4 linked regions of the Notamacropus eugenii genome follow. The main gene of each other region encodes a partner of the protein of the gene in region 3 in a complex. Links are inferred from orthologs where the notes say so. Each region holds a gene or a part of one and is shown on either strand. Other genes may lie near its edges.

Region 1 (7,471 bases), about 35 Mb from region 3:
CCTTACTTTTAAATGGAAGGATACACGTCCACAAATACAATATAATTTGAGGAAGGAGAGAATAAAAACAATTAGGGGGTTATCCGGAAAAGTTTTCTGTTAACAGGTAACACTTGAGTTTCACCTAGAAAGAAGTTAAGGATTCTCAGAGAAGTAAGGAGGGAACACATTCCAGGAACATGGGACAGTTTGTGCAAAGACCGGGAGGCAGGAAATGGAATGCTAAATTCAGGGAACAGTGAAGGCCAGTTTGGCTGGAACACAGAGCCCATGAAAGGGAATCATGTGAATCTGGAAAGGTAAGCTAGAGCCAGACTTTGAAGGGTTTTAAATGCCAAGCTATGAAGAATGAATATTAGGCAAAAGGGATTCTTAAGCAGGGTAATGACATGCTCAAGTCTTTGCTTTAGGAAGACTATTTTGGTAGCTGTGTGAAACATGGATTGGAAAGGGAAGTGCCTGTTTGCAGGAAGTCTTACTAAGAGGCTACCAGCAATATCTAGTGGAAAAGTGATATAGGCCTGAACTAGGATGATCTTTTAATCCTAAGGCAAATGTGTGGTAACACATTTTCCCAACATAAGTGTGTTAACAAATGGTTGCATTTAAAGATGCTGTGAGCAGGCATGGCTCAAATATTAGAGACTGAAGTGACAATCCTAAGAATTTCAATCCAAGAGCTACAGCTCACCTATACCACTGTGAATCTATGATAACTAGCTGAGACTAGGCGGCACAGTGGCCACAGCACTGGAGTTGAGCAGACCTGAATTCAAAGCTCAGACACCAGATGTGACCTGTCTATCTCAGTTTTTTCAACTTTAAAATCGGGATAATAATAGCATCTGCTTCACAAGGTTGTTGTGAAAATTAGATAATATTTGCGAAGTGCAAAGTGCTCAAGCGTAGGTGCTTTAAAAAAATTTGTCCTGACTTCCCCAGTTTCCCTATCAGTAAATTGAGGGAACAATGCTCATTCAGTTACCTCCTTCATACCAATAAAACATGGAAATATGAAAGTATTCCATAAATGTACACTTACTCTAAAATAAGTAATATGCTCTCACAAATTTTTAAATTTTAACCTTGATGTTACAGCAACATCCGAAGGCCTGGGTTCTGAATTGAAGTTACTAATTCACTTTTTTAATATGGGCCTCAGTTTTCCAAATAAAGTTTGATTAACCTTTCCCATCTCTTCCAATTATAAAAAAAACTTAGCAACTTCAACTGTGAACTAGACTCTACATTGAAGGTATTCTGGAATAGTGGCAAAAATACTTAACTTGGGAGTCAGAAAACACAGATTATAGTTCTGGTTCCACTATTATCACAGTTATGTAACCCTCAGTAAAAATCAGTAAGTAGCCAAAACATCTTATAAGCTTCAGTTTCTTCATCTGGAGAAAATGGGGATAGTTATCTGCTCTGCATAGGGATCAATGGGTTGAATGTAAAACTAAACTGACGAAAATACTCTGCAAAAAGTACATGACACTAGTTTCATCACCCTCTCCTCAAAGTATTACATATAACATTCAATAAATATGTTGAAAAAAATGAAAGAACAGATCTCTCTCACTACTTGAAATGGGACCAGAGTAAACCATTCTCTCAAGAGCTAAAAGAAAAATTAGAGAACTAGCTTGATATTCTTTCAAGAAACTAAAGCCCCAGAGAAATTAAGTGGCTTGCTCAATGACAAGTAGCCAAGCCCAGGCTAAAACTGAAGTCTTTTAAAACCAAATTCAAACACTGTTTCCTAGAGCAGTCACTTAAAGGCATAGTAACAGAAAACACAATCAAAAGAACATTTTTTTCTAAAAACTTCATATGTTGCCAATAAAAACTTCAGGACTCAGAAAATGCTTAATTTGTCACTAAGAAAAAAAACTGAGTGGCTGGAAGTTTATGACAGGAGGAAAAGAGATTAAAGGGGGTGGGGTTCATATGATTTTCATTTATCCCCTATAGTAGCTAGATAATTTAAACACTTCTTTTATTCAGTTTAAGAGCAAGATGTAATACCCAGGACTCCCAACAACTCCGAACTACAATGCATTATTTAAAATATTTGCTATTCGGGGAGAAAACCCATATTAACCCCTTGCAACTAATACTACCCCAAAGTTTAACAGATTTTTATAAGACCAAGTACTAAAGAGTGTCAAAAAATTCAAGACCCTGTTACACCCACTTTTTTCTCCCCCCAAACTATTTATACCAAACGGGCCTCACCTAAAAAACGAGCGGGCAGAGGAGGAGGCGTGGGATTCCGAACAAGTTTCTGGATGTAAACACGCCAACACTTCTTTAAAGCTACTTTGTTTCCTGTTCCCGCGGATTAAAGCTCATTCTAGCTCTAGGTTTGCGAAAACTGGGGCGGGCGGGGGAGGAGTCCATTATCGCTCCCCAAAAACTCATTTTTTTGTTAGGATAAATTTAAATTTAGGATTCCTAAGGAAATAAACAAACCCAAACCTTTGCTTTTTTTGGCGTAGTTCCTTTTTAAGCCCAGTCGACCCAGAATTCGGCCGAACGTGGCGGGAGCTCCGGGCCCCGCGCCCGCACCCCGGCTCGCTGTCCCTTCTCCCGCTTCCCACCGCAGACACCGAGCAGGGTAAAATGGCCTAGGGCGGGAGCATCCGCGTCCCCGCATCAAAGGAGGCGAAGCAGTTAACGGAGTCGGCGGCCCCGCAGGCCCCGGCTCCTCCACCGCCGCGGGGAGCGGCCTGCGGACCGGGCGAGGCCGGGGTAGGGCGAGGGGGGCGTCGGGAGGGACGGGGTCACTTCGGGGCCCGAGGCGGGCGAGGTCTGTTCCGGCGGCGGCCCCGCGTCCCGCACTTACCTCTTCACGCCGAGGCAGCCCCTGCCGCCGCCGGCTTGTCACATAGACCGGCCCGGGCGCCGACCCCCTCACGTACAGACAGACGGTCGGAGCGGCGGGCGGCCGGGCTCGGGCGACCCCACCACCCCAAGCCGCCTGGGTGCCCTCGGCCCCAGCGACGGCTCCTCCTCCTCCTCCCGCCGCAGAGAATGACTCTCCCCTTTATTTGCGGGTCTCGCTGCTACAAAATGGCGCTGGAAGAGGAAATGAGGCTCCGTCACCCCCCCCACCCCCTTCCCTTCCCCGTCTTCCCGCTCCTCCCGTCGGACGGCTCCGCCCCCAGCCCACGCAGCCCCGCCCCAGCTCCGAGCCGAGCCCGCCCCTTCCCTCCTCCCGTCTCGTCTGGTCGGGGCCTGGCTCACTCACCTGGAGGACGAGGCTTCCGATAGGTCGCCTTTGCGTCCAGCCGGAGTCCGCGGCGGGTACCCGCGGGTGGGCCCCCCGCCCCCGCCACGCCGCTCCCGGCCTGGGGGCAGGGGAAGGAGACGGCGAGCGGCAGCAGCAGCCTCAGCAGGGGCTAGCTCGGGCGGCGGCGGTGGAGGCGGCTTTGCTCCCGCCCCCCCCCGCCCCGCAGAGCCCAAGCTGAGGCGCCTGGAGAGGCCGGCCAGCCGACCTAGTGACGGGTGGGGAGGGGGGGTGGCAGACGTGTGGGGATGGGGTCACGGAGGGAGGCGGGCGGAGTGGGAGGGAGGGGAGAAGGTTGGAGTTCAGCCGCGGAGCATCCTGGGAAAGGCGATGGGGGGCGGGGTGGGTTTCGCCTACTCCCGCGGGCGGAAGGAACGTTCCCGGGGTCCCCTGCTGCTGCTGGTGCTGGAGGGCGCCCGCCGGCGGAGGGATCCTCGGGGGTTGGCTGCCTTCTCGGAAGCCGGCGGGGTTTGCTCGCGCGCCGGCGTTCTGCTGGCTGGTCCTTGGTGTGGCCGGTGTCGTGGCCCGTGACGTTGTGAGGAGCTGCTCCTCGGGCTGCCCGGCAGCCTGAAGACCGCGCCTCCCGGGGGAAGGCGGACCGGCCTTTGTTCTTGTGCGGGCTTGGCTGCAGCTCCTACCGCCGGGAAAGAAACGCCAACGAGGGGCTGCGCTTGACGGCTGGTGCGGAGCCCCGGGCTTTGGGGCGTGATTGTATTCTCATTCCACATTCACTGGAATAAAGTTCATTACGAAGGAGCCAACCAAGTTGGACTCAGCGAAATCGCAATTGTTTTTTGTTGTTGTGCCTTTTTCTTTCCACGATAGAACCGTAAAAGAGCTTTAAATAAGACTGCACGTTAGAGTTTTCTGTACTATGGGCTGGTCAAATCATTGCCGTAGTAGGTGTCCGCCCGAAAACTCAGCTGACCTTAAAGAAGCTAGTCTTTAAGTATTCATTAGGATACAATTAAAGGTAAGACGTGCTTTGTCGAAGGAGACGGACGAAGTTCCTCTTGATAGCACAAAGGAATGATAAGATGAGTTAGACGTGGCTGAAAAGTAGTGATCCTAGGGAAAAACATTTCTTTAGCGTTCATATACGATTTTCCTCAACTTAGTTAATACGAAAATGAAATTGCTTTTCTAACAATCCTGGGAAAGTCTTTAGGGTACTATCTTTAGCAATGTCGAGCGCATGGAATCATGGAGTTTTAAAGCTGTGAAGGGGCCTTCAATATTACGTAGCCTTTTGTAGCCTGGCTTCCAACCTATCTTTCCAGCCTTCCTCACCCACCTTGTGCTCAGTGATCGAACTAAAGTGGCCCTCTCTCTTCCTCAGCGTCTCTGCTTTTGTCCTGGTTCTCCCTCACGAATGGAATGCACACCCTTCCCAGCTCCGCTTTACGGAATTCCTTTCTGCCAGATGCAGTTCAAACACATGAAGCACTTCCTGATCCCCCAACTGCTAGTGCCTTCTCAAACGATCTTGTACTTATTTGTATCCTCCTTATATTTATTCCATATATATTTGTTGTCTTCTCATTAGAACGCAAATCCCTTTTGAGCAGAGTTGGTTTTATTGTGTTTGTATCCCCAAGGGTACTCTGCCGGGAGTATATGCTGTGTTCAGGAAGTACGGGCACCCCTGGCGTGAGGGCTAGCAGAGTTCTTTTCAGGCTGCTCATCCACCTTTGGTGTCCACTTGTCACCCAACTCTCACCTGTGGCTCCAAGAAGATGTAGCAAGTACAGCTGCCATACCCCGGTTTAAAAAAAAAAAAAAGGTCTTGCCAGACAGGCTGAAGCAGGTTGAGAGTTAACTGAGAGCGTTAGTGAGTTAGGGGGAGGTCTACCCTAAGCATGTGAAGACTGTTGGTGAAATGAGCTGATGAGAACACTATAATCAGAAGGCTGTGAAGGTGCTGTGTAGTGTTTGGAGCTTGGTCAGAGGATGCCAAGGTCATCCACTGCATCTAGGCCAGTCATCCTGACTTTGATTTTGTCACTGGACTTTGATGACTCTGGAAGAGAAAGTGACGACTTAGTGCAACTTTCCCTCACTGAAATCCAAATTCACATGTTAGTCAAGTCCTCACTGTCATGTCATTAGTCTCCTTCAAAAAAAGGAAGAATGAACCACAATATGTGTAAGTGCAGCTAGGTGGTACAGTAGATAGAGGGCCAACTTTGCCAGAAACCAAAACAATACAACTAAAACAACAGAATAACAAAAGTCCTAAGGCCTAGCTCAGTGCTCAGCACAGGAAATGCTGAATAAATATGTGTTCTCCAATCACTTTTCAGTCATGCAAGATTCTTCATGATCCTGTTTTGGAATTTTCTTGGCAAAGATACTGGAGTAGTTTGCCAGTTCCTTTTCCAGCTCATTTTACAGATGAGGAAACTGAGGCAAACAGGGTTAAGTGACCTGTCCAGGGTCACACAGCTAGGAAGTGAGCCAGATTTGAACTCAGGAAGGAGTCTTATTGATTTCAGGCCTGATGCTCTATCCACTTCACCTAGCTGCCCTTAAATACTTTAATGTGTTTTTAAAACACCCTTTAAGATGTTTTCTATTGATCTAGTTAGAATTTTTATGTGTACTTTGTAAAGGTTTGATTTTGAGTTCTCTTATCACCTTGGTGAGATTATAGGGAGGTTAGCCTGTCAAACAAATCATATCTTCCCACAGAGGGTAACAAAGAGGCATTCTTTGGCACCTCCTGAAGGGCAGGTCTTATTGACAAGGACTGTTTCTATATGTATTTGTTGACTTGAACTCCTGTTCTGTGGGTCTAGGGGAAAGGGCTTTGTGTTGACAGGAAATGAGGTGAGCCCCACTGTGATGGAGCAGGTTGTTCAGAATAACCAGCCTTTGAAAGGGAGTTTTCCCTTTGTCTTTCCCTTTGTCTCCCTTTCTTCTGGAGAAACCCTAAGAGTGTAGCAGGACTAGTGCTTAAGATGTTAGTGGATGCTTTGGAGAAGAGGTATCAGGCACATTATGAAATGCATGTGCTCATGCCCATGTGGCTTGAGAAGAAAAATCTTGGACACCAGGGGCCCATTTCACCTCAGCCCCAGATATGTAAAAAAGCTTACATATGCCAAGAAACTGAGTAGCAGCTGGAGTTTTAGTAGTGTATCATCAGAGTCATAGCTCTATAAATAAAAGGGACTTTTTGGAGATTATGGAGTCAAACCAACTTCATTTTGTAGATGAGGAAATTAAGCCCAGGGTGGTTTAACTACTTGCCAAGGTCACACAGCTGGTGTTCAGGATTCAAACTCAGGTCCTGTAATTTCAAGTTCAGTGCTCTTTTTCTTGTACCATGCAGTCTTAAGAGTTGCTGGAGACACATAATGAAGGTGCTTGCCCTTGTGGGTCAAAAGTTCCTTGGCAGTATTCAGTTGCTGGCTCCACCCTCAAAGAGGCAAAGGCAGGGCAGCCATGCTGAGGGCAGTCATTTAGCTAAATGGTAAGAGTCCCTGAGGAATGTGTCCCAAGTAGCAATCTAGCAGTTGAGGGATTTCTTGGACAGTGCCAGTTTCAGGGGTTGCCCTAAAGATAACCCAAGTTCAAGAATTTGGGAATCTAGCCTTCTATTGAGAAAAAGGAAATTTCCTAAGTGCATGCTTCAGAGAAAGATTCCAGCATCTGTGGCCCCAGTCCTGGGAGGAACAGTATAGGGGACTAGAATTACAATGTGGAGGAACAGGGGACTTGAACATGGTACTGTGTCACCACATATTTATTATGCACTTACTATATTCCAGGCACTGTGCTAAGCTCTAGAGATACAAAGAAAGGCAAGAACTGTCCCTGCCCTCAAGGAGCTCACATTCTATAATGTAAACAGCTATGTACATACAAGTTTTAAGTAGTGTGGATGGAAGGTACTACGCTGACTGAGCCACTTGGATGGTGTGATTTTGCTGGGAAGAATTTTGCCTGTCTAGCCACCCTAGGTGGATGGTAATGACAGGATGGTTTTGAAAATTTGAAAAAACTTTGGAAACTTGTACAAATAGGACCCAATGGAGAAGGAAGAGAATAGTTTTGATTGTAATAACTGTAGAATCTTTTCCCACACTGTTTATGGACTCCTGTGGAGTGCTTCTACAGGATCTGGAAACCCTCTGTGAGAACCTAGACATGAGATTTTCCCATAATAGATACTAG
Region 2 (8,200 bases), on a different chromosome or scaffold from region 3:
ATCCAGAAAATGCAGCAGCCCATGTAGCAGGGAAGACTGAATCTGGAGTCAGGAAGCCAGGCTCAAAGCTTGGCTCTGCTGTCTGATCTTGGACAAGCTACCCCATCTCAGGTCTGCTGCCTCTTTTCTGGGGAAGGCAGAGGCTGAACCAGATGCCCCTGAGGTCCCTCCAGCCCTAAGCCCCCAGTTTCCTCTCCTTGGGCATCCCCCAGTCAGTCATTTTCTAGAGTAAACATGGTCCTGTGCCAGAGACCTATTGAAGCCAGGGACCGAGACCCAACAGAATGTCAGGCTGGACTCTGAACCAGGGCAGATTCAGCACCTAATGAAGGACGATCAACGGGATTCCAAGGCTCTTTCTGTAAAGAATGGCATGTTCGATGGCAAACAGCTTTATGCAGTCAATCCTAGTGAAAAGGTGTCCCATGTAAATGTGGTTAGTTCAGAGGAGTGAAAGCAAGGTACAAGGGTGCTGCAGTGTAGACGTCATCCATGAGCTGATTACAAACCTGGCCTACCAGCTGATGGGCTTCTGAGGCCGAGCTGCAGATCCCAGCAGCAGATTTCAAAGCTGGGCAGATGTGCAGACATCATCAAACTCAACTCACTCATTTAAGAGATGAGAACACTGGAGCCCAGAGAAGGGGAGGGACCTGGCCAAGGTCATACAGGCTGAGGAGAAGAGAAAGGAGCCCTGGGTCTCCCATCCCTCATCACTATACGTTCTAACAGCACGCAGCTGAGGACTCTGGTCAGTGGTCACCAGGATCATGGATAGTGACTAATTAAACTTCTCTTTAACCAGTGCCAGAGAATGATCAGATAAGTCAGCATCTGCTATCGGTCCATTCAATAGGGTCTGCTATGTGCCTGGCACTGTGCGAAGGGCTGGGAAGACAAAGAAAGGCAAAAACCAGCCCTGGGTGTGCTCCAACGGAGATGATGGGTAAATGTCACTGGGGAAGCCGTTAGCAGCTGAGGGCATCAGGAAAAGCTTCCTGCAGAAGGTACTCGGCCTGGAGCGAAGCTGGGAAAGAAGGCAGCAGAGACCAGGAGGCAGAGCCCAGCAGCCTGGGGGACGCTGGCCCAAAGATGCGGAGCAGAAGCCGCCAGAGGGTGTGCTCGAGGCCAACGCCCAGGGATGGCAGAGGTGCAGGAGGGCAGTAAGGTGCAGTCAGACTGGGAAGGCAGGAAGGGACAGGGGCACAAAGAATCTAAAGCTCGGAGCTCGCTGAGCAGTGACCAGGTCTGACCACTCTAGAAAAAGCCCACTGGCAGATGAGAGGAAGCTGGCTCTTGCCTCACGCCTGGCAAGAGGCAGCCAAGCCTGGAGCCATGAGGGGAGAAGAGCTGTCCGCAAGCCAGGGTAGACAGCGGGCTGGGCCAGGAGCGGGCACCCAGCCTTGGGCGGGGGTAGCCCGACTGCTCAGGGGTGACAGCCCCCTCAGAGGGGGAGCGGACACTAAGTCAGCACACTACGTGCCAGGCTGGACTCTGAACCAGGGCACATTCAGGAGGGTGCTGAGTGCTGGGGACACTGACCAAAAGCAAAGGCCGGCCTCGGCTCTCGAGGAGGCAGACGACACCCCCCAAGGGGGGAAGCTGAAGCCCGGGTGAGCACAGCGGGGGGCCAAGAGGCACCAGAACGTGCAGAGGCCGTGAGAGCTGAGGACAGTCAGAGGAGAGCACCCGCAGGGCCAGGGCAGAGTCCTGAGGGCCCGGATGGCAGGGCCAAGCCAGGGCAGGAGCGGGGCAGCCAGGAGGCGGTGCCCAAGGCCCAGCGGGGAGGGGAGGGGCGGGGGAAGAGAGCGGGGGCACGGCCGCCCGGGGGGCTTCTTCAGGGGCACATGCCAGGGCCAGCGGGCAGGGCAGGATCTCCACCGCCCCCGAGACCGGGGGAGAGCCCACGGCAGGAGGAAGGGCTCCCACCCGTGGCCCCACCTGGGGCCAGGCTTTCCGTCCGGGGTCCCGGGAGGGAGCGGAGGGGCGAGCACAGCGGGGGGCCCTGGGGGGCAGGGAATCCGGGGCCTGCAAAGAACCCTAAAAACGAAAAGCTCAACAAATGGCCCTAACAGAGTCCGCGCTGGGGGGAGGGGCCCGAGACCCGGCTCCTTCGGGTGGCCGAGGCTCCGTGCTGAGCCCGGCGGGGTGCCGCCGGCCGGGGGACGGGAGACCCGAGCTCGAACCCGCCCCGGACCCCGGCGGGCCGGCAGGGCCTGGGCGAGCCTCCTCCCCGCCCCCGCCCTCCCTGGCGCGCGGGGGGCTCGGCGCCGGCACCCCCACTTCCCAGCCCGAGGCGGGGCCCGCCCTTCCCAGCAGGCCGCTGTCTCTGCGACCCGAGGCCCGCACTTCCACCAGGGCTAACTCGCCCCTCACTGACAGGGGCGTAAACTGAGGCTAGATCACCAGGGCTTCCTGGAGGCAGGGGCGGCCAGCAGGGCCCGAGGGGACAACGCCGGACCTCGGCCACCGGAGCAGGGCGGCCAACAGGAACAGGAGGGGACCGAGGGGCGGGGCCCGGGAGAGCGGGGCGGGCGCGCGCGGCGAGAGAGGGAGCGGGCATGCGCAGAGGAGCCTAGGACAGGGGGCGGGCCTGAGCGGGGCGGGCGCGCGCGGCGAGAGAGGGAGCGGGCATGCGCAGAGCGGCCGAGGACAGGGGGCGGGCCTGAGCGGGGCGGGCATGCGCAGAGCGAGCATGCGCGCCGGGGAGAGGAGGGGGGCCTGAGGGACGGGCATGCGCGGCGAGACAGGAGGCGGACATGGGCGGGACGGGCATGCGCAGAGCGAGCATGCGCGGGGCGGCCGCGTGTACGGGCAGCACAGCCCCGAGCCCCCGCCCCGGAGCTCACCTGCTGGGCTAGGAGTTGCCGGCGCAGCTTCTGCCGCTCCCGGATCTCCTGGAGGCGGCTGTCCATGTCCCGGCCGCCGCTATTCTCACAGGGCAGGAGGGCGAGGGCCTCCCTCGGCGACAGGCGGTTCCCCGAGGCTGAGCCTTTCCCGGCCCGCGTCCCCTCCGAGGACCGGCCCCAACGACCCGCTCGACTCCACGCTCCCCGGCTCGTCGCTTCCGGTCCAGGAAGTCCCGCCTCCTCCCCACGACCTCGCCGGCGCTGGGGCGTGCGCGGTGGCGTGACGTCACTGGTCAGGAGGCGTGGCCGGAGCGCGGATCTCCCCCGCCCCTCCCTCTCCGCGTGCCCGCTTCGCTCGGGGGCGCGCCCCGCGGGGCTGCGCTGCCTGGGCCCGCCGCAGGCTCGGACCCGTGCCCTCGGTCCTGGGGCTCAGCGCCGGTCATTCCAGGGTCCCGCGTGCCGTCCGAGCTGCCAGGCCTTTACCTGCAGCCCCGTCCTCTCCGCTGAGGCCCGGTGCGGGCACTCGCCGGCCGCCTGACCCGGAGCGGGTCCGTCCATCCCTCCGGGCCTCAGTTTCCCCTCCGGATCCGCTTTCTGTGTCTGCCGGGAGCACCCGCCCCTGACGGACGCCCAGCCCGGAGCCTCGGAGCCCCTTTCCGGGTCCCCCCGGTTATCACTGCGTCGGGCCGGCCCCCCTCCCCCACGGTGCCCCTTGCACCCCAGGCGCCGTGCTAAGCGGGGAACACGACAGCGCCCCAAAATGAGAAACGCCCGCTGCCGGCTCGGTGCTACACGCGGGGCAGACGCCGCGTGTGCAGTTTGGGCAGACCTTGAGGTCAGAGATCGTCTCAGAGGGAACCTGAAGAATGCCTGGGCGGTCCGGAGGCAGCCTGGGCAGGACTGTGGGCGGCCAGTCTGCTGACCATCGAAGACCGCGGACTTAGAGTGCGCAGGGCCGCGGGACCCAGCCTCATTTTACAGAGGAGGAACAGCCTTGAGGAGCGGAGGTCACTTGTCCTTGTCCGTAATGCTGGTTCAGTGGATGCCGACTTAACCGAATTTAAGTGAAGGAAAGACCCGTGTGTCTACACTGCCTGCAAGGTCTCGCCTCGCACCCGGCAGCTCGGACTCTGCCTCCGCCTCTCCTCGCACGTGCTCTTCCTTCTGGATGTCTTCTTGTGGGGGCACCGTCCTGTGCCTAGCTCCGAGCGGCTCTTAATTCCCCAGACACGCAGACTCCAGGTGGCATTTCGGAGGCTTGCTCCGTGCCCCATCTTCCCCCCTTGTCCCCCATTCAGGGCATGGACGCTCCTCTCCCTTCTTGGAATCTGCACAGCGCGTCTACACAGCAGTAACAACGGCAAGAGGAAGCCCGAGAATCAAGGCACACTCCAGATGTGTATTAATTACAGCACTCTTTAAAGAGAAGAGTGATTGGATGGGCGTGTATTACCCATGGTTGGACGGGGCCAATATAATAAACATGACTATACCGTTCTAATCAGTCTAGAGGTTGGGGGCTATAACAGACTGATCAGCGAACACTTCATAGAGGTAAATAAAATCGTATTTATTTAGAAGGACAATAGGCTTGAAAGGTCAAGGGGATACTGACAAAGAAAAAAGTAGGAATGGAGAATTTAAGATTTCATATTCTACCAGAGCAATGACCATCAAAGCAATTTGATGCTAATGAAGAAATAGAGAAGTCAACCCGTGGAACAGGCTCCATAAGGAAGAATCAGACACAACTGAAGTCAATAGCCTAGTGTTTGATACAACCAAAGGCATGAGTTACTTGTGGGGAGGATTTCGTTTTTGGCAAGAAATACTAGGAAAACCGAAAAGCAATTTAACCTCCCCCAAAATGGTCTAACTCGGGTACACTGTATAGCATAATAAACTCAACATGGCTACATGACCTGAAGATTCAAGGTCATACCATAAAAAAAAAATGAAAAAAGAACAAGATTAGGAAGCTTTCACAGCTACAGCAAGCAAGAGAATTCTTAACCAGAAATCACACGTACAAAGATCATTTTCATTATATTAGGTTGAAAAACCTTTGCATTGACCAAATCTGTTCAACTGAGAAAATAGGACACTAGAAAAATGTTTGCATCAAATACCTCTGATAAGGGTTTGATTTCCAAGGTCTCCAGGAGCTAACGCAGTCTGGAAATAATGCTCTGGGAGAGCTAGTTTCCAATTAGGATAGCCAAGCACCATGTTAGGGTAAGAAAGACTATTCTGGCAACAGTATTAAATGTGGAAGGGGTTGGGAGAGGACCCAAATTTCAGTTAGTGTACAAAGGAAAAACAAAGAAAGAGGGTACCTGAGCAGGGACTGAGGGCAGCAAGAGAATGTGGAGAAGGGACTATTTTAGGGTGTCAGTAAATCAAGGTGGAGAGTGGTAGATGATAGAAACTAAGCCAGAAGCTCTAGCTGAGATTGAAGTCTGGCAGCTTCCCTTTTTTAAAAAATTTATTTATTTATTTTTAGTTTTCAACATTCATTTCCACAAGATTTTGAGTTCCAAATTTTCTCCCTATCTCTCCTCTCACTCCACTCCAAAACACCATGAATTCTGATTACCCCTTTCCCCAACCTGCGCTCCCTTCTATCACACTCCTCCCTTGCCTTATCCCCATCTTCTCTCTTTTCTTGTAGGGCAAGATAGATTTCTGTATCCCATTATCTGTATTTCTTACTTTCCAGTTGCATGCAAAAACAATTCTCAACATTTGTTCCTAAAACTTTGAGTTCCAACTTCTCTCCCTTCCTCCCTCCTATCCCCACTGAGAAGGCAAGCAGGTCAAGATAGGCCATACATGTATAGTCCTGAACTTCCATAATAGTCATGTTGTGAAAGACTAACTATTTCCCTCTGGCTTATCCTGTCCCCCACTTATTCTGTTCTCTCTTTTGACCTTGTCCCTCCCCTAAAGTGCTTACTTCTAATTATTTCCTCCTCCCATTTGCCCTCCCTTCTATCATCCCTCCCATCCCACTTATCCCGTTCTCCCCTACTTTCCTGTAGCGTAAGATAGATTTTTCATACCAAATTGAATGTGTATGTTGTTCCCTCCTTAAGCCAAATGTGATGAGAGTAAGTTTCACTTTTTGCCTCTCATCTCCCCACTTTTCCCCTCTATAAAAAAAGCTTTTTCTTACCTTTTTTATGAGAGATAATTTACCTCATTCCATTTCTTCCTTTTTCCTCTCAATATATTCCTCTCTCACCCCTTAATTTTATTTTTTTAGATATCACCCCTTCCCATTCAACTCACCCTGTGCCCTCTGTCTATATGTGTGTGTGTGTGTGTGTGTGTGTGTGTGTACAATCCCTACAACTACCTAAATACTGAAGAAAGTTTTAAGAGTTACAAATATTATCTTTCCTTTTAGGAATGTAAACAGTTCAACTTTGGTAAGTCCCTTATGATTTCTCTTTCCTGTTTACCTTTTCATGTTTCTCTTCATTCTTGTGTTTGAAAGTCAGATTTTCTATTCAGCTCTGGTCTTTTCATCAAACATGCTTGAAAATCCTCTATTTCATTGAATGACTATTTTTTCCCCTGAAGCATTATACTCAGTTTTGCTGGGTAGGTGATTCTTGGTTTTAATCCTAGTTCCTTTGACTTCTGGAATATCACATTCCAAACCCTTCAGTCCCTGAAGGTAGAAGCTACTAGATCTTGTGTTATCCTGATTGTATTTCCACAGCACTCAAACTGTTTCTTTCTGGTTGCTTGCAATATTTTCTCCTTGACCTGGAAACTCTGGAATTTGGCTACAATATTCCTAGGAGTTTTCCTTTTTGGATTTCTTTTAGAAGATGACTCGTGGATTCTTTCAACATTTATCTTACCCTCTGGTTCTAGAATATCAGGGCAGTTTTCCCTGATAATTTCATGAAAGATGATGTCTAGGCTCTTTTTTTGATCATGGCTTTCAGGTAGTCCCATAATTTTTAAATTGTCTCTCCTGGATCTATTTTTCAGTCAGTAGTTTTTCCAATGAGATATTTCACATTGTCTTCTATTTTTTCATTTTCTTTGATTTTGTTTTATAATTTCTTAGCTTCTCATAAAGTCTTTAGCTTCCATTTGCTCCATTCTGATTTTTAAAGAACTATCTTCTTCAGTGAGCTTTTGAACCTCCTTTTCCATTTGGCTAATTCTGCTTTTTAAAACATTCTTCTCCTCATTGGCTTTTTGAACCTCTTTTGCCATCTGAGTTAGTCTATTTTTAAAGGTGTTATTTTCTTCAGCATTTTCCTGGGTCTCCTTAAGCAAACTGTTGACTCACTTTTCATGATTTTCTTGCATTTTTCTCATTTCTCTTCCCAATTTTTCCTCTGCCTCTCTTACTTGATTTCCAAAATCCTTTTTGAACTCTTCCATGGCCTGATAGAATCACCACGCAATTCTATCCATTGCATATTTATTTTGGAGGTTTTGGATGCAGAAACCTTAACTCTTATGTCTTCCTCTGATAGTATGCATTGTTCTTCCTCATCCAAAAGGATGGAAGAAAATACCTGTTCACCAAGAAAGTAACCTTCTATAATCTTATTTTTTTTTCCCTTTTCTGGGCATTTTCCCAGTCAGTTACTTGACTTCTGAGTGCTTGTCAAGTGGAGGGTATACTCTAGGGACCTGTAAATTCTCAGTTCCTCCAAGGTGGCACAATTAAAGGAGAGGAGTTTACTTCTCTCCTGGCCTGTGCTCTGGTCTGGGAGCAACCCCAAGCTTTTCTGCCCAGGATGTGTGAGTAGAATTCTCTGTCCAGAGCCTCCACCAGCTCTACCAGCCAGTGCTCATCCTCACCCCAGGACTGCCACTCAGGGCTGAGATCCAGATCAGTGGATTCCCCCAGGTTCTTTAGGCCAAGGGCTCCAAAAATGGATGTTGCTGCTGCTGCCACCACCTGGGGCCGAGGCTAGGGCAGGACCCTGCTCTCTTCTCACCCAGGTGAAAGAGCTTTCTCACTGACCTTTGAAGCTGTCTTTGGCATTTGTGGGGATCTAGCAACCACAGTTGCTGCCTGGTATTCCATGCCCCAGCCTGCTCCAGTCCTGTCCCTGCTGCATGGCGTGGCCAAGGCCTCACTATGCTCCTCTCCAAGCCTGGTGTAATAGACCTTTGCTGTTGGCCTTCTAGGCTGTCTTGTCTGGAAATCTCTTTCACTCTGTTGTTTTGTGGCTTCTGCTGCTCTAGAATTTGTTAAGAGTCATTTTTTACAGGTATTTTATGAGCTGTGGAGAGAGAGCTTCTACAGGTCTGTTCTTCTACTCTGCCATCTTGGCTCCGCCCCACAGCTTCCCTTTTTTGTGTCTGTATTTCCA
Region 3 (7,323 bases):
CTGCAAAGTCCACCCGCAGCCTGCGGTCAGGCCCCCCCAGCGGGAAACCTCGCATATGGGTCCAGGCAGCGTGGGCCGCGTCTAGACTCTCGTACTGGATGTAGGCCCAGCTGTCGCCCTTGCGGTAGTCGATGGTGCGGATGGTGCCAAAGCGGTCAAACTCGCGGGCCAGGGCAGCCAGCGGCACCCAGGGGCCCAGGCCGCCCACCCAGAGGCGTGTTGTGGGCGTGGCCTTGCCATAGCCGATCTTGATGGGGTTGCGGATGATGACCTTGCCGGACATGGCCAGCTTGGCGCGGTGCGACATGTCCAGGTTCTCGAACTTGAGGAAGCCATAGGTGCTTGCCTGGCCCCGCGTAGGCCGCTTGATGTCCACCTCGGTGATGACCCCAAAGCGGTCGAAGGCCCTGCGCAGGTCGCTCTCAGTCACCGTGATGTCCAGGTTACCCAGGAAGAGAGTGCGGTTGGCACGTTGGCCATCCTCAGGAGATAACTCGTCCACTTCGCGGAAGGGGGCGGCGCCGGCACCCACTCGGGGCTCCAGGCTGTAGGCTGGGCGCACACGCTCGTAGAAGGGGTAGTCGCGCTCCCGCTCCAGCTCCCGGGGCAGCGGGGGCGGGGGCGGCGGGGGCAGGCGGCCCAGGGCCAGCTGCTGCAGGCGGTAGTCCCGGTAGCCCAGCGCTGCGCCCCCCGGGGACAGCGCCCGCTGCCCCCCGCCCGGGGGATGCCGGTGCCCGCCCACGGCAGCGCCCACCACCGCGGCGGGCGCGTAGGCCTCTTTGTCCAGAGGGGAGCGGCTGCGGCGCCGGCTCACGTACACGGCCTCGATCTTGAGTGGCCGATCGTAGAGCACCAGGCGGCCCCGGGCGTGCTTGGCCGCCCGCGCGTCCTCCGGCCTGCGGAAGTTCACGAAGGCCACGCGTTCGTCGCCCGAGCCCCCGGGCAGGCGGCTGATCTTGACGCTCACGTCGCCGAAGCGCTTGAACTCGTGGAACAGCCCGTCCTCCACCGCCTCGTCGCTGAGCTGGGAGCCCAGCTCGCTGATCTTGAGCGTCTTGTACTCGCCGCCCCCGCCGCCGTCCGCGGAGCTGGGGGCGGCCCCGGCCGAGCGGGCCTCCCCGCCCCCGCGGGAGCTGCTGCGCGACTCGCCCCCGCCCGACGAATTCTTGGTGCTCGGGGAGCTGTAGCTGTGCAGGCGGCTGCTGGAGCCGCCGCCCGGCGCGTCGTACTCGCGGCTGCCGCCCCGGCTGCTGCCCTTGTCTAGGTGCAGGCTGCGGCGGCCGCCGCTGTCCGCCTTACCGCTGCTGCTGCCGTTGCTGCCGCCGGAGCCGCCGAGCTTCTTGCTCCGCTCCCCGCGGGTGCTCGACTCCTCCCCGCCGCCGCGGGAGCGCTTGGCCTTCGCGGGAGAGCGCTCTTTACCCTTCATCGCGGAGGACTGTGCGGGGCCGCCTCGGAACAGGGGAGCTCGCCTGCCCGCGCTGGTTTCACACAGCGGAACCCCGCGCCGCCATCTTGCACACCGCCGCGGCAATGGACCCCGCCCCACCGCCCTCATTGGTCAGCGAGCGCCTCTCTTCCTCAAGGTCATTGGGGGTTCCCTCTGTCTGTCTCCCCAGCTCCCAGCGCGAAGTGAAGGATCCCGCCCGACCTCTCTTATTGGAGTCTTGACGTCCTAGGAAGAGGATCCCATTGGTTGTTGCCGTTGTCCGTATTAACGGTTCCTCGCGCCAGTCGGTGGTTCCGCCCCTCGCCGCACCATCGAATCACCTGACTCCAATCCTAGCGAGGTTGATTGGCTAATAGGCCCGTCCTGTAACGGTTCATCTCGCGCGGGGAGAATAGCGAGCCCACCTCTTCATCCTTTTCATTGGTCCGTAATCCCCTCCCCTTGACTTCTAATTGGAAAGCGAGACCATCAGTTCGGGCACTTTTTCCGAAGCGAGGGTTAGGCTAATATCTCGCGAGTAACTATTTCTCCTTCCTCCCCTCCCCCGCCCTCTTCACTCTTCCTTCATTGCGTCCAGTGTCTGAGTAGAGAATTTAAATCTGGTTGGGTGCCTGCCAAGAATCTGATAGGCTTCAAGGCATGTCAATCAAGTTCTGAAGCCTTCAGCTTCTCCTCTCTTAAAGGGCTAGTCGCGGCGACCGAATGAGGAGACTGAAGGTGAAGACTGGAGCGCGTGGGTGCGTGGTGACGTTACTAGAGTCGGGCGCTTTGAGTGCGAGCCGGGCCGGGCCCCGCCCCCGCCGCGGTGTCTGGTCTGCGCGGAGGGGGTTCGAAGTCTCTGGATTTGTCTACTGCGTGGCTGCCCGCTGCGCCTCTTCACTTCCCCCGCCCCCACCCCCATTCCCAGGCTGGGCGGGAAGGGTCGTTTCCTGAAACCCGCAATCCCTACGGAAAGTGGCAGGCCCAAGCCCGACTACCACGTCAGGCGCCGCAGGGCGGGGCAGGGAGGCTGGCCCTCTGTCCCTCCACCCAGCCCTTTTCCCTGCGGACGTGCCTGTCCCCAATAGAGCACTAATTGAGCGCCCACTGTATGTCGGGCCATGGCTAGTAATAAGGCACAGCCTCCGACCTCGGCACTAGTCTGGCAGAGGGTAGAAGTGACCCGTCACGCACAATCGAATTAAAATTTGTATCATTAATAATAACAGCTAGTATTTATAAAGAAGTTTACGCATTTTCATCTCGTTTGATGCCCCTAACAACCGTGTGAGGAGGGGCGTGTGCGTGTGCGCTAATTTTCCTATTTTACAGAGAAGGAAACTGAGGCAAAGGAGTCCCGTGCCTTGCTCAGGCTTAGGGTTTGGGGCACCTGCTGGATACCTGAGAGGCCGGGCCCCGCCCCCTGGGAGGAAGGAGGCGGGGGGGGGGGGGGGGGTCCTTGCCAGGAGGCAGAACCCGGGTTCGACCGTCCCAGAAGTGGACTGGGATCCGAAAGGTGCATGAGCAAGGACGGTGACGTCAATGTGACGTCACGGGCGGGCTGGGGCTCCCGGGGGGGAAAGGTCCGACCCGGTAAGGCGCCTAAGAAGGGATTTTTGCGGGTTAAAATCAAACGTTTTGTTCCCTGGGGAACGAGCGGGAGGGAAAGTAAGACAAGCCAGTATGGAAAGTGAAAAGCACTCTTCCTGAAAAAGAAGAGCGCCCGTGACGGGCCTCGGCTCGCGGCCCCGGCGCCCGCGTCAGCCCGGGGCGGGGCTGGAAGGAGGCGCGGCCCGGCCGCAGCTGGCACCTTAAGGGCGGTGCTGCCGCCGAGGCTCCGCTGCCGCCGAGGCCCCGCTGTCTCCGAGGCTCCGCGTCCGCGGCCCCGTGCGGCCGAGCTCCGGCTGCTGCCGCCCGCACGGCGCGGCCTCTGTGCCTGCGGCGGCCGCTTCTGGGCGCCTTAGACTGCGCAGTCCACCCCGAGTGCTGGCTCATTTCCTGTTTCAGCCCTAGGCTCCCTCGCAAAGCACCGCTGTCAGATTTATAAAACATAGCGTATAAAATTACACTGTGCTGAATGAATGGATATGACAACGGAGAAATTCTGCTAAACTAACCTAATGCCTTTTTTTCCCCTGACAGTTATGAAACTGGACCAAGGCGATGCTATAAGCCAGGAAGCTCTTTTAAAATGAAACTGTTTTGGTTTTCTCTTTGTAGCCCTATCACCTTGCACATACTGGACATAGAATCAATGTATAATGACTTGAATTAAACGAAATTATCTGTTTTAGCAAGTCAAAAAGGCTTTGTGATGTTCAAAAAAAAACCGCTAGTATTCTCCTGGACAAGTTGGAGCTATGTTACAGATGATAGTAAAATTAGGTGGGCTCCTATGTGAGCCCGAAGCACTGTCTAACAGGTGCCAACCTTAGGTGAAGACCACAGGGCTCAGTGCTTGACCTTGCCTTGTTCACCATTTTATCAATGACTCGGATGAAAATCTTGATTCAGTTTAAATCCGTTCAGTAGACGCCTTAGGGGCCTACCTGTGTACTATATGAAAAACACAGTTCAGGAAGAAATATAACATTTAGATAAGACAGATCCTTCCACTATGAAATTTATCATCGGCTGGCATACTGATAGCCCACAGGATGTAGAAAGATCTCAGAAGTCTAGAACAGCTCACACTTTGAGGTTTGACAAAACATGATACAAGTACCTTCTCAGCTCATCCTCCCTATCACCCTACTGTAAGGCGGGTGCTATCATAACCCCCATTTTACAGATGAAGCAGACAGAGGTTAAATGACTTGTCCAGGGTCATCCAGCTAGTATGTGAGACAGGCTATGAGTTCAGAACCTCCTGAGTCCAGGCCCAGCAGTCTATCCACTGTACCACCTCGCTGCCTCTGGAATGGAAAGATGAATCTACAAAGATTAAATTTTAAATTTTACATGTAACATTTCAATTTTTTTTTTAATACAGCTGTGAAAGACAGGATTGAGGAGAAATGGATAGACAGCAGTGTGTTGGAGAAAGGACTGGAGATCATAACTTCAGAAGACTGATAATGAAGCATCCCCTTTTATCTCCCATCTTGGCAGAGAGATTCTGGACTTTCAGAGGGGAGTAGCGAAATGTGTTGGTTTGTTTTGTTTGAGTATACTTAACTTGTTACAAGGAAACAAAAACCATCATCAAACCCATCTAATTCAAATCAGCTCAACAAACACTGAACAGCTGTAGGATACAAGACACTCTACTATATCCCAAGAGTACAAAACCGAATCATTTCCAGCCTTTAAAGAGCTTACACCCAGGTGGGGAGGGGAGGATAGGGAGAGGATTGTAATGGGTTGCAGAGATGAGTACTAAGAGTACTTAAGGGGGGGGGGGGGGAGAGTTGGAAAGTCTTACTTCAGGAAGAGGCACCTGATCCTGAGGGTTGAGTTCAGGGAACTGCTAATAGGTTGGTTTGTCTGGAATGTAGACTATGTGAAGCAAGATAATATGAAATCAGACTATAAAGTTAAGTTAGAGACAGATTATGAAGTTTTCTTAATGCCAGCCTGAGTAGTTTGTGTTTTATGTTACAGGTTAAAAAACCACAGAAGATTTTTGCTTGGGGAAGTGACTCATGCCTTGGGAAGATTATTTCAGCCCTTTCAAAGCGAGTATGGATTGGAGAAGGGAGAGCCTTGAGGAGGAGACCGATTAGGAAGCTATTGCAATGGTCAGGGCTAGAGGTAATGACATCCCTAGCTAGGATAGTGACTGTGTGAGTAGAGATGTGGAGGAATACAAGACAGTAACAAAGTAGAATCAACAAGACTTGGGCTTGAATTGGTTGGAGGAAGGGGTAAAGAAGAAATGCATCTGGAAAGATGTGTATTCTTCAGCTAATAGTGGGAAACATGTTGAGTATAGGATGCCTTCAAGACATCCAGATGATGTCCTAAATTCAATTAAGGGTGCAGATGCAGAAACATTTCCAGCTTGGTAGAGCCCACTAGCAATTATGTTCAGCTAGTATAGACACCTGCACACCACAGTGAGGGGAGGTATCATCGTGGGCTCTTAGTGAAGACCATTGAAGATATTATTCAGGAGATTTATGAATGGAAAAGGAAGGACATGGAGCATGTAATTAGAGCAAGTACCCTACTCTAGTGCCTTTTTTTATTTAAATATTTTCAGTATATAATAAAATATAGAATGTGCCTACAGGTAGAAAGGGGCAGCTAGGTGGCCCAATAGATAAGAGCTCTGGGCCTAGAGTCAGGAAGATCGTAGTTCAAATCCAACCTCGGTCAAGTCCCTTAACCCTGTTTTCTTCAGTTTCCCCATCTGTCTGATGAACGGGAGAAAGAAATGGTAAACCAGAATCTTTGCCAAGAAAACCCCAAATGGGATCATGAAGAGTCAGACTTGGACAGGACTGAACAGCAAGAGGCAGAATATGCCTGCCAACAGTTCCGATGTGCATAGTATTTAATAGGGAAGCAGCTCAGTATCACAAATAGAGTTCTGGAATTGCAGAATTGCAAAGGTAAACTTGGATTTGAATATAGCCCAAGGACATTTATTAACTGTGGGTCCCTGGACAAGTTGTTTAATCTCTTTTTAGATTGTTTCCTCTTCTGTAAAATAGAGATAATAATAGCACCTACATCCCAGGGTTGTTGTGGGGATCAAAATAACATATACAAAACACTTTGCAAACCTTAAAGTACTATATAATTGTTAGCTATTACAATAGGTGTGTTCCTGAAAAATTGTTCATAATTTATCATATAAATATTGAATTCTTTTGTAAGAAAACTGTTCACCTAATCAACCTTATTTATTAATTTGGCTATTCATATATCAGAGCTTCTCAGTTTATGAGACAATCTCTAAATAGACAAATCAAGAAAAATTCCATTATGTAACTCAATAGGAGTTCGTCTAAAATTTCATTGTTTCTAAAATAGTCTATAGCATATTATTTAAAAGTTTCATTTATTACCCAGTTATTTGTCATTTTAGTAAATAGAAAAGATTAAAAATAACATTAACGTTAATAATTCACCTTGTTCATAAAGCACTCCGAAAAGAAGAAAAAACTGTTTGACATATTAAATGATAATATTCATTCGTGAGTTGCCATGGCCAAAAAAAAAAATTATCACCACATGGCAAGCCTGCTAGTAATGTACCTCTCCATAAATAACTGATTTAGTCCTCATAAAACAGGTTATGGCCAGGGCCATAGTTGAAGTCTTTCCAGCATGATAAAATCTGCCAGACATTGTACTGCACTGGTGTTGACTTCCAAAACCCAAGGTCATATAAACTTGTCTATAAAATCTTAAGAAGATTGATGGATGATTTTGAGCACAATTCTCTTATAATACAAAGAGAAGCAGTGAAAGGTAAAGCCAAGTTTTAAAAACCATGGCAAGATATCCTACTACTAAGCAAAGTCATCTCAAGGGCATTCAGGAATGAAAATGGAAGAACGAAAATGGAAAGAAAAACAGACAAGATTTTTAAAAACCATTTTATCAAATTGTTTTCTCCATGGAACATCACAGTTGGGGAAGGGAAGGCAATAGATATCAAGGAACTACTGTGTGCCAGGCACAGAACTAAGCACTTTACAAACATCTCATTTGATCCTCCAACTACCCTGTGATATGTGCTGTTATTGTCAACATTCTACAGAGGAGGAAACTGAAGCAGGCAGAAGTTAAATGACTTGCCCAGAGGCACAGCTAGCCAGTGGCTAAGGCCAGATTTGAACTCAAGTCTCCTTAACTTCAGGCCCTGATCTCCATCTTCTATGACAGCTGCTTATAGAGGAGCTAAAAAGGGCACTGAGAATAAAGATGGGGGAAAACAGCCAGAC
Region 4 (7,694 bases), on a different chromosome or scaffold from region 3:
TGCAGGCATTTTATTAAAAGGAGGTATATCACAAAACCTATACCTTTCTCCCTCAAAATACACATAAGTAGTAGAGTAACTAGAAGCCATATTCTTGTGGTACAAAAAGGTGAAAGAAGAAATAATGAATTATATATAAGGCATTCCTAGACCTATACCTAAACCTAGCTCAGAGCTGCTGTTAAGAAGTACTTTTTTTCACCCAAAAAACATTAAGAGAAGTATAATGTTGCTATGAAGTCAACTAAGTCTTAGACCAAAACATGCTTTCCAAGCCCCGTAAATCACATATTTACCCAGTTACCTGTAAAGCTCAGTACTGTAAAAAGAACAAAATGCCTCACTTCCAAAACACATGGATTGCAAAGAGAGATTATGCATTTCTAAATGCCTAACACAAATATTATTCCCCAGAAAAAACTGTTTAAGGCTGAGGCATGACTTCCCAATTACAGGAAAAGATGTTACTTTTTACTAACTAAGCCAAATTTCAGTTAATTAAAATGATTTTTTTCAGTTACTTTTGTTAAGCACTTCAGTAAGTTACTGTGCTGTCTGAAAATTTTTAGGACATCTAACTAGAATTGTTCAGAATGTATTTAGGTAAAGCCTGCTTGAAGGTATTAAGTTGGACTTGAACTTCGAGACCTATTTCTAGGTTTCTCATCATTAAAGACTCATGTTCAATCCTACAATTCATTCTTTTGATCAACAGGAATCTATGATTGTTTGTTGGGGGGAGATTCAAAACTGAACCTTAAACAATGCACTTCAAGAAGCATTTACTAAATGCCTGCTATACGCTAGGAACTATGAACACAAAAACAAAAACATAAATGAAAACTCCCTGCCTTTATGGAAAGGGAACAAGGGGTACAACATTAATCAATAACCAATCCACAGGTATTTATTAAAATGCTTTTTATTATACAGCATTTATAACATACATAGATAAGTAAATACAAAGTGATTTTGGGTAGGAGAAGGGAAGTATCAACAATTGGGAAGATCAGGAAATGTTTATGGTAAGAATTCCAAGAGGTAAAATGGCAACAAAATAATCCAAAATATTTTTCATTACCAGTTTCTTAGCATTATTTTATAACAACTATTTTGTAACAAGCCATGATTTTAATATAAGATGGGGACAAGAATAACAAGGGTGACAAGAATAACAAGGGTAAGAGAGAAAAATAGCATCAAACACATCAAAAGATCGCTAATGGCCCAAAGTTTCCTCCCATTTCACCGAACACCTTTCATTAAAAGTTCAACCAAATCAACTTATTTCACTTTCACTTTTCATTTTTGTTACTTTTCCTAGCGAAGGCATTTAAAAACTTCCAAAAGAGCAGCCAGGTAAAGAGAATTGTTGGCCAGTGACTTTTCAGTTTGGTTCTTTCCTGGCATAAAACCTCACCTCTAACTTTGCTAGAAAGTCAAAATTATGTTTTTCTAATAATAGTATGCATTACTGTTACCTCTCCCTACCTGAACTGAATACTGCCCATAGTTTTAGTTTTGTATGAAGCTGAAAAGCCTCTACTAGCAGGTCTTTGTACACTACACAACTGGGGTTACAGCTGCAGCTGGTAAAGCCTGTTCTTTACTCAACTGCCCTTCTGTGTCTTAAGTCGTTCTCATAAATACAACATTTACTAGACGATATATGTACCCATGTTTTCTAAAACTAGGGTTTTACAATATACAAATAGGGTACACTTCTCACTGTAAGTCAGTAAGTCAACAAGCATTTCTTCCATGCTTCCTACCTACCAGGCACATTTGGAGAAACCAACAAACTAACAACAAAATTAAGAACGGGGTCCCTGCCCTCAAGGAGCTCACATTCTACTGCACTACAAGCACCAAGTTTCCTTTGAAATAGCCCTACACGGAGCGCAGAACTTGCGATAAGAAAACAATCCGTGACTGTTCTTTCACTTTTCTCAGGGTCCATTTAAAAATACTAGGTTCACCTAAAACACACACAAGCCTCCAAATAAATATCTCACTTCCAACGTCGAATGCAAAAATTCTGCTACTCTCTGGGGGGTGGGGGTGGGGGGCACTTCTCTGTTACGAAGTCCAAGACTTCAGCTTTATCAGTACTTTAGCAGTCGAAGCAGACAGGTGGCTCAGTGGGTAGACAGATGGGCCAGGAGTAAGGAAGACCCGAGTTCAAATCCGGCCTCGGACACACCCTGGGGAGTCATTTCACCTGAAGCGGCAAACCACTCCCGAATCTGTGCCCGGAAAACCCCACGGGCAGTCCGGACGCGCTGGGTCCAGGGGGTCCCAGAGAAACGGACACGACTTCGTAGTAAGTGCACGGTATTTTACTTCACGGACTACAGACACCCTACTAGCACTGCTCACAAAGCGCCCCAGAAAACAAAAAGCCTGGCTCACCAAGGGGCCGCGGCTGGAGAGAGGAAGGGGTTGTTGGTTAGCGCAGAGTCCAAAATGAGGAAGCTCCCAACCGCACACAGCCCAAAAGCCGAGGTTCGGGGAAGACAGAAGGGTCTGGTCGGGACTTTACACAAAGACTGCGCTGAAGGGGAGCTCGAGATCATATCCGGCTCCTTCAGCCTAGCTACCACACGCACGGGCACCGACGACAACGAAGCTCTGGGCGGCTGCGAGGGAGGAGGAAGCCACGGGGACGTCTAGCCCCGTGGCTCTACTCCCACAAAGCCAGGGTTGGGCTCCCCAAGGTCCCCTCCCTTCCCCAAAGCCCTACACTGGCCGGGAAATAGCCCCGGCCGGCACAAGCCGCCAAACGCCGAAGACGGAAAGGAAGGAGGCCTCGGGGGGAACCCAGCGCCCCCCACGCAGCCCCGGGGTCCCACTCTGGACCGACACGGCGCCGAGGCTGCAGCGCGGAGCGGGGGAGGGGATGTAAAGAAGGGGTGTAGGCCGAGAGGTCTATCAGGCCCCAGCTGGGCACGGCCGGGAGGGAGGAAGGGAGGGAAGAGGAGTATGTAGAGATCCTCCCTCGCCACTGCAACCCATCCCCTCAGGACGAGCCCGGTTCCGCTACGCCAGCCGGGCGACGGCGGGTCTCGGGCCGGCCGAGGGGTCCATGTAAACGAGACCCCCCCCCTCCACCTCCTTACCAGTGTGGTCCATGATTCGGCTCGAGGTGCACTCTGGGAGCGGAAGTCAGCGTCGCCCCAGTCACCACGGGCGCGTGCGCGACGACCCGACCGAGCTCAGTCAGCGGAAATGAGATGAAGGTGGCTTTTGCCGGGGTTCAGGGACGAAGAAAGTTCGGAGCAGTTTGGAATGGGACGAGGGAAAAAAAGATAAGGAAAATGGGAGCGCAAGGAGACAGCTTCATGGCAGAAGGGGCCGCCGGAGCGATTCCCTAGGTACAAGAAGGAAGAGCCATCTTCACAGATCAAACCGCTTCTCCCTTTGGCGGGAGAGAGCGGATGGGGGATGGGCGGGGGCGGTATTTCCTGGTCGAAGTACTTCAACTTCCGACAGGCCCCGCGGCTCCTCCGACCTCGCGCAGCCTAGCCTCCTGGGACTTGTAGTTTGCCCTGGACAACACCCTCCCTCGGGCCTCCAGCCTTCTCTCCCACCCGCACTTCCCTCCAGCGACTGGTTGTTCTCGGTGCGCAGGCTCAACCGTTGGGGTTGCTGAGGTCTCCGCGTTCGTCCCTGCAGGCGGCGGAAAGCTCGAGCGGAGTCTGGGGAAAGGCGTGGTTGGACGGCCGCCAGCTCCGAGGGTCCCAGAGGCTGCGTGCGGAGATCGAGGCGGGGAGCTAGGACCGGTGCGCTTTTGTTCCGTGTTGTGTTTTTGACTTGGTTTGTGGGGCTCCCGAGGCATGCGCTGAAGACCCCGTGCCCGCCCCCCGTCGTTTAACTATATGAAAGTTTTAAAAAGAAGTTTATCCAGTTGTTCGTTTCTGGGGAAGGTGCTGGGACGCCTTCTGAGGTCCCAGAAGGAGTTGGCTTCAGCCTCGCCCCCTCCCCCAATACCCACGTCCCTATCCCTGTGCTTTAACCTGATGGTTCTCAAGTGCTTTACAATCTGCAGACATCCCGTAAGCATCCCGCAAAATAATCGTTTTGCACCTATTTTGACTCTTCTAACGATTCCCTCTATCTCTTGACTCTGGGCATTGTTGTCTCTGGCTGTCCTCCCCTCCCCCTCCCATGCCCATGCCTTCTGACCTTCCTGGCTTGCTTTAAGTTCCGTCCAAGATCCTACCTCCCCTAGGAAGGATGATGTGTTTTACTTACTGTGCAGTTAAGTTACAGTAATAGCAATAGCCAGAATTCTTGGCTTCTCTGGATTGTGTGGGGATTACCAATCTCAGTCAAAAGAGCTCTTTAGCAGTCTTAAAGCAGTGAACTAGGTCCCAGCCTCACAGACCTTATTTTTTCTAAGTTTCTTTATGGATATGTAATCAGAAGCTTAGTTGGAGGGAGGCACGTATAAACAAACAATACTCAGATATTTGTGTGTAGCATTATTTATTGTAGCTGGTTATAATCCCTGCATTTTATGATCTATTTTACTGCACAAATTTGTTAATTGTGAAAAATCAGTAATCAAAGTGCAAACCTGGAAGAGTATATGCACAATGATAACGGCTCAAATTCAACTTCTTCCAGGTATTTTTTTTCCTTAAACTTAAAATGGACATATACCTAAACATTTTAATGGTCGGTTTCTGCCTTTCCTAAAGATAATAGGAATGTGTTGTGGGATCAATCAATTAAAAAGAACCCTAAAGATTAGGGGTGGAGAACCTACAGCGGCGAGGCCACAGAGGCCCTCAAGGTCCTCAAGTACAGCCCTTTGACTGAATCCAAGAACAGTTTGGTTTCCCAATGCAGGTTCCCTGCCCCTGCTAAAGATGATCTCTGAGCCTCTTCATTTTACAAATGAGGAAACTCATTTATGTGATTATGTGGGATTATGTGATTTGTGGAAAGTTCACATAGGTAGAATTTGATCTCTCCTCTGACTCCAAAACTGGTGCTTTTTCCACTGAACCCAAGGAAGAGTACCACTTTATAGTTATTACTGGACTTTTGCACACTCCACTCTTCATCTGCTGCTGTGCCTGGTTTCAACTCCAGGGACCAAGGTGGCCCTGAACTGGGGAACCCCCTTGGTCTCTCTTCCCCTAACCCCCCCAATTGCCGAGTTGGATTGTGAACTCCTTGAGAGCAGGGATTTTTTTTTTTAATTATTGTATCGGGCTCTTTGTAAAGTCCCTGGCATGAATTAAGTGTTTAATAAATGTGGATTGGAATTGAATGGATTGAATGCCCATGAAAACTTTTTAGACTTGGTTCAGTGTTCTAGCCTGTCAAGATATTTTTAAATCATGACAATCCAGGATGCTAAGTATTGCCGGCTAGTTTTGTGTCATGTGTAAATTTAGTGATAGTACCAAATCTTTATCATTGTGGTATAGTGGAAAGAGTCCCTAGAATTAAATTGCCACTTAACATCTGTGTTCCTGATCAAGTTATTTAAACTCTTTAGGGAGGAGGGAGGGAGAGAATCTCGGTATTCCCAACTGTACAATGAAGGTGTTGAACTGGATTACTTCTAAGTTCCCTTCCAATTCTAAATCTTTGGTTCTATGTTAAACTTCACAGAACCAAGTAGATCCTGGATCCCAGAGAAGGCATTGATAAAAAAAAAATATATTAATCACCTGCTATTCTGTAGGCACATCAAATCTAGCTTTTAGGTCTAGCCATTCAGTCAACTCCAAATCTACCTGCACTGTTATCTAGTTCACATTTTTATGTTTTTTTTGTAGGAGTAGCATAAGAGGCTTCATCATATGCTTTGCAAGTTTGAGAATAGGAGACCAAATGATGAAGATATTTAATAAGCATTTCTGAGAATGGATCTCAGAGTATATAAAAATGCAGTGCACATTGAGATAACAGTGATGAAATAGGGAAGGGAAAGTTTGACGTCATCTTCTGTTCAGTAAATTCCAGTAGCTTCCTGTCACCCAGGATCAAATATAAAATCCTGTTTGTCATTCAGAGCTGTTCACCTGTCTTCCCTTATCTTTCTAGTATTCTTACCCTTTCCTCACTTCCACATACTTTGTTAGCCACTCCCACTGGCCTATCTGCTTGTTTTTTGAAAGAGCACTGAGTATTTTCACTGGCTTTCCCCTGTACCTACAATGCTCTCCTTCCTTGTCTCCAACCAACCACTTAGTGTACTCAGAGGGATTGCTTATGTCTTTGTCTTAAGGCATCTGCTTCAAGTCAGAGCCAAAATCCTACTTTCTACAAGGATCCTTTTCTGATCTCCCTTAAGAGCCTTCCTTCTGTTGATTATATCCAATTTATTCAATATAGAGCTTGTTTGTACATACTATGCCATCTCCTGCATTCTACTGCCAACTCCCTGAGAGCAGAGATTATCTTTTGCCTTCTTTGTATCCCCAGAACTTATTACAGTGACTGGTATATAGTTGGTTGGTTGGCTGTTGTCCTTCGTTTTCAAAGAGGACAAAAATGACATCACCATGATAAAAATGAAGTTTCAGTGTGTCTGACTGTGGCTGATCAGACCAATACTGTATTTTCATTCATGCGAAAATTGGATTTAAGTGAGGCAGAGTTGCACAAAGTTGTCAGCCTCACTCTATCCCTCAGTCATCATAGTTCAGTGGCAGGACAGAGTCAAGATGGCTGGCAATGACTTAGGATGCCATGGATGACCTTGGTGTCTTCAGTATCTAACCAAGCTCTAAGGGCTCCACATCACCTGCTTCAGCTGCCTTCATGGCCGTTGGAAGTCTTCACATGTAGGGTATGTTCAGGGAGGACTAGTACCCTTGGTGTGATGGCTGCTGAGCACTTTTGGGGACTCTTTCTACCTTTGGTGTTCACCTGTTCCACCCAGCTCTCACCTGTGGCTCCAAGAAGCTGCAGTATGCGCAGCGGCCACACCCTGGTAAACCATTTTGGCAGAACGGCCAAACTAGGTTGAGGATAACCAAGGATTTTCAAACCCATTGATGAGTTAGGGGGTTGTCTACCTCAAGCATGTGACTGGTATATAGTAGATGATTAAGAAATACTTATTGATTGTAGAGGGACCTGTCAAAAGGGAGACATTGTAGAAATACATAAATAGTATATAAAGGACTCTCACCGTATCAAAGCCTCAGTCTTCAAAAAGACAAGTGATTTCAAAATGGACATCTTTTCCTTATTTCAATAAGTTTAGTTCTGTGGGAAGTTCCTTTTGTCCTTTATGTTCTTTTTCCCTTGTTCTATCCCCTTTTCTCACAAAACTTCAGTCAACAGTACTACATAAAACGTAGCAATATAAAATATTGTTTGGAGAAGTTTATGATGATATCTTGCAAATGAACGTGTTCACAAAACTAAAGCAGTTTCTTCTGGGATGTAGAGGTAGAAAACAGTAATTTCTTGATTTAGTTATCTGGATTTTGTGTGAAAGACTCACAAATGTTCTTTATAAGTATTTGGTTGTTATTTTGGGATTTGGTTGGGGTTTTTTGGTTTGTTTTTTCTCTAGCAGTCAATGTTCCAGCTAATCTGGAGTGCTAGCTGTTTCTTCTTCAAACAGTATGTCTTGCCCTGTGCCTGGAATGCATACCTTTCCTCCCCTTGCCTGTTTGACTCCTTAGCTTCCTTCAAAGGTACCACCTCCTAGAGGAAGTCTT

What was found.
Region 1: RBM15 (region 3) and WTAP share a complex: the UniProt entries of both Homo sapiens proteins name them as parts of the WMM complex. The link is inferred for Notamacropus eugenii from reciprocal best matches to the Homo sapiens genes RBM15 and WTAP.
Region 2: RBM15 (region 3) and METTL14 share a complex: the UniProt entries of both Homo sapiens proteins name them as parts of the WMM complex. The link is inferred for Notamacropus eugenii from reciprocal best matches to the Homo sapiens genes RBM15 and METTL14.
Region 4: RBM15 (region 3) and CBLL1 share a complex: the UniProt entries of both Homo sapiens proteins name them as parts of the WMM complex. The link is inferred for Notamacropus eugenii from reciprocal best matches to the Homo sapiens genes RBM15 and CBLL1.

The regions. Positions count from the first base shown.
Region 1 is NC_092873.1:253,463,270-253,470,740, reverse strand, and holds the start of WTAP (pre-mRNA-splicing regulator WTAP), read right to left. Parts: upstream 3,384-7,471; 5' UTR 3,254-3,383; intron 3,082-3,253; exon of another isoform or gene 2,849-3,081; intron 2,458-2,848; exon of another isoform or gene 2,239-2,457; intron 1-2,238. UniProt on the Homo sapiens protein: Associated component of the WMM complex, a complex that mediates N6-methyladenosine (m6A) methylation of RNAs, a modification that plays a role in the efficiency of mRNA splicing and RNA processing.
Region 2 is NC_092878.1:165,435,914-165,444,113, forward strand, and holds the start of METTL14 (N(6)-adenosine-methyltransferase non-catalytic subunit METTL14), read right to left. Parts: upstream 3,100-8,200; 5' UTR 2,916-3,099; coding exon 2,850-2,915; intron 2,477-2,849; exon of another isoform or gene 510-2,476; intron 1-509. UniProt on the Homo sapiens protein: The METTL3-METTL14 heterodimer forms a N6-methyltransferase complex that methylates adenosine residues at the N(6) position of some mRNAs and regulates the circadian clock, differentiation of embryonic stem cells and cortical neurogenesis.
Region 3 is NC_092873.1:288,849,785-288,857,107, reverse strand, and holds the start of RBM15 (RNA-binding protein 15), read right to left. Parts: upstream 3,145-7,323; 5' UTR 1,556-3,144; coding exon 1-1,555. UniProt on the Homo sapiens protein: RNA-binding protein that acts as a key regulator of N6-methyladenosine (m6A) methylation of RNAs, thereby regulating different processes, such as hematopoietic cell homeostasis, alternative splicing of mRNAs and X chromosome inactivation mediated by Xist RNA.
Region 4 is NC_092874.1:147,685,322-147,693,015, forward strand, and holds the start of CBLL1 (E3 ubiquitin-protein ligase Hakai), read right to left. Parts: upstream 3,209-7,694; 5' UTR 3,133-3,208; coding exon 3,120-3,132; intron 1-3,119. UniProt on the Homo sapiens protein: E3 ubiquitin-protein ligase that mediates ubiquitination of several tyrosine-phosphorylated Src substrates, including CDH1, CTTN and DOK1. Targets CDH1 for endocytosis and degradation.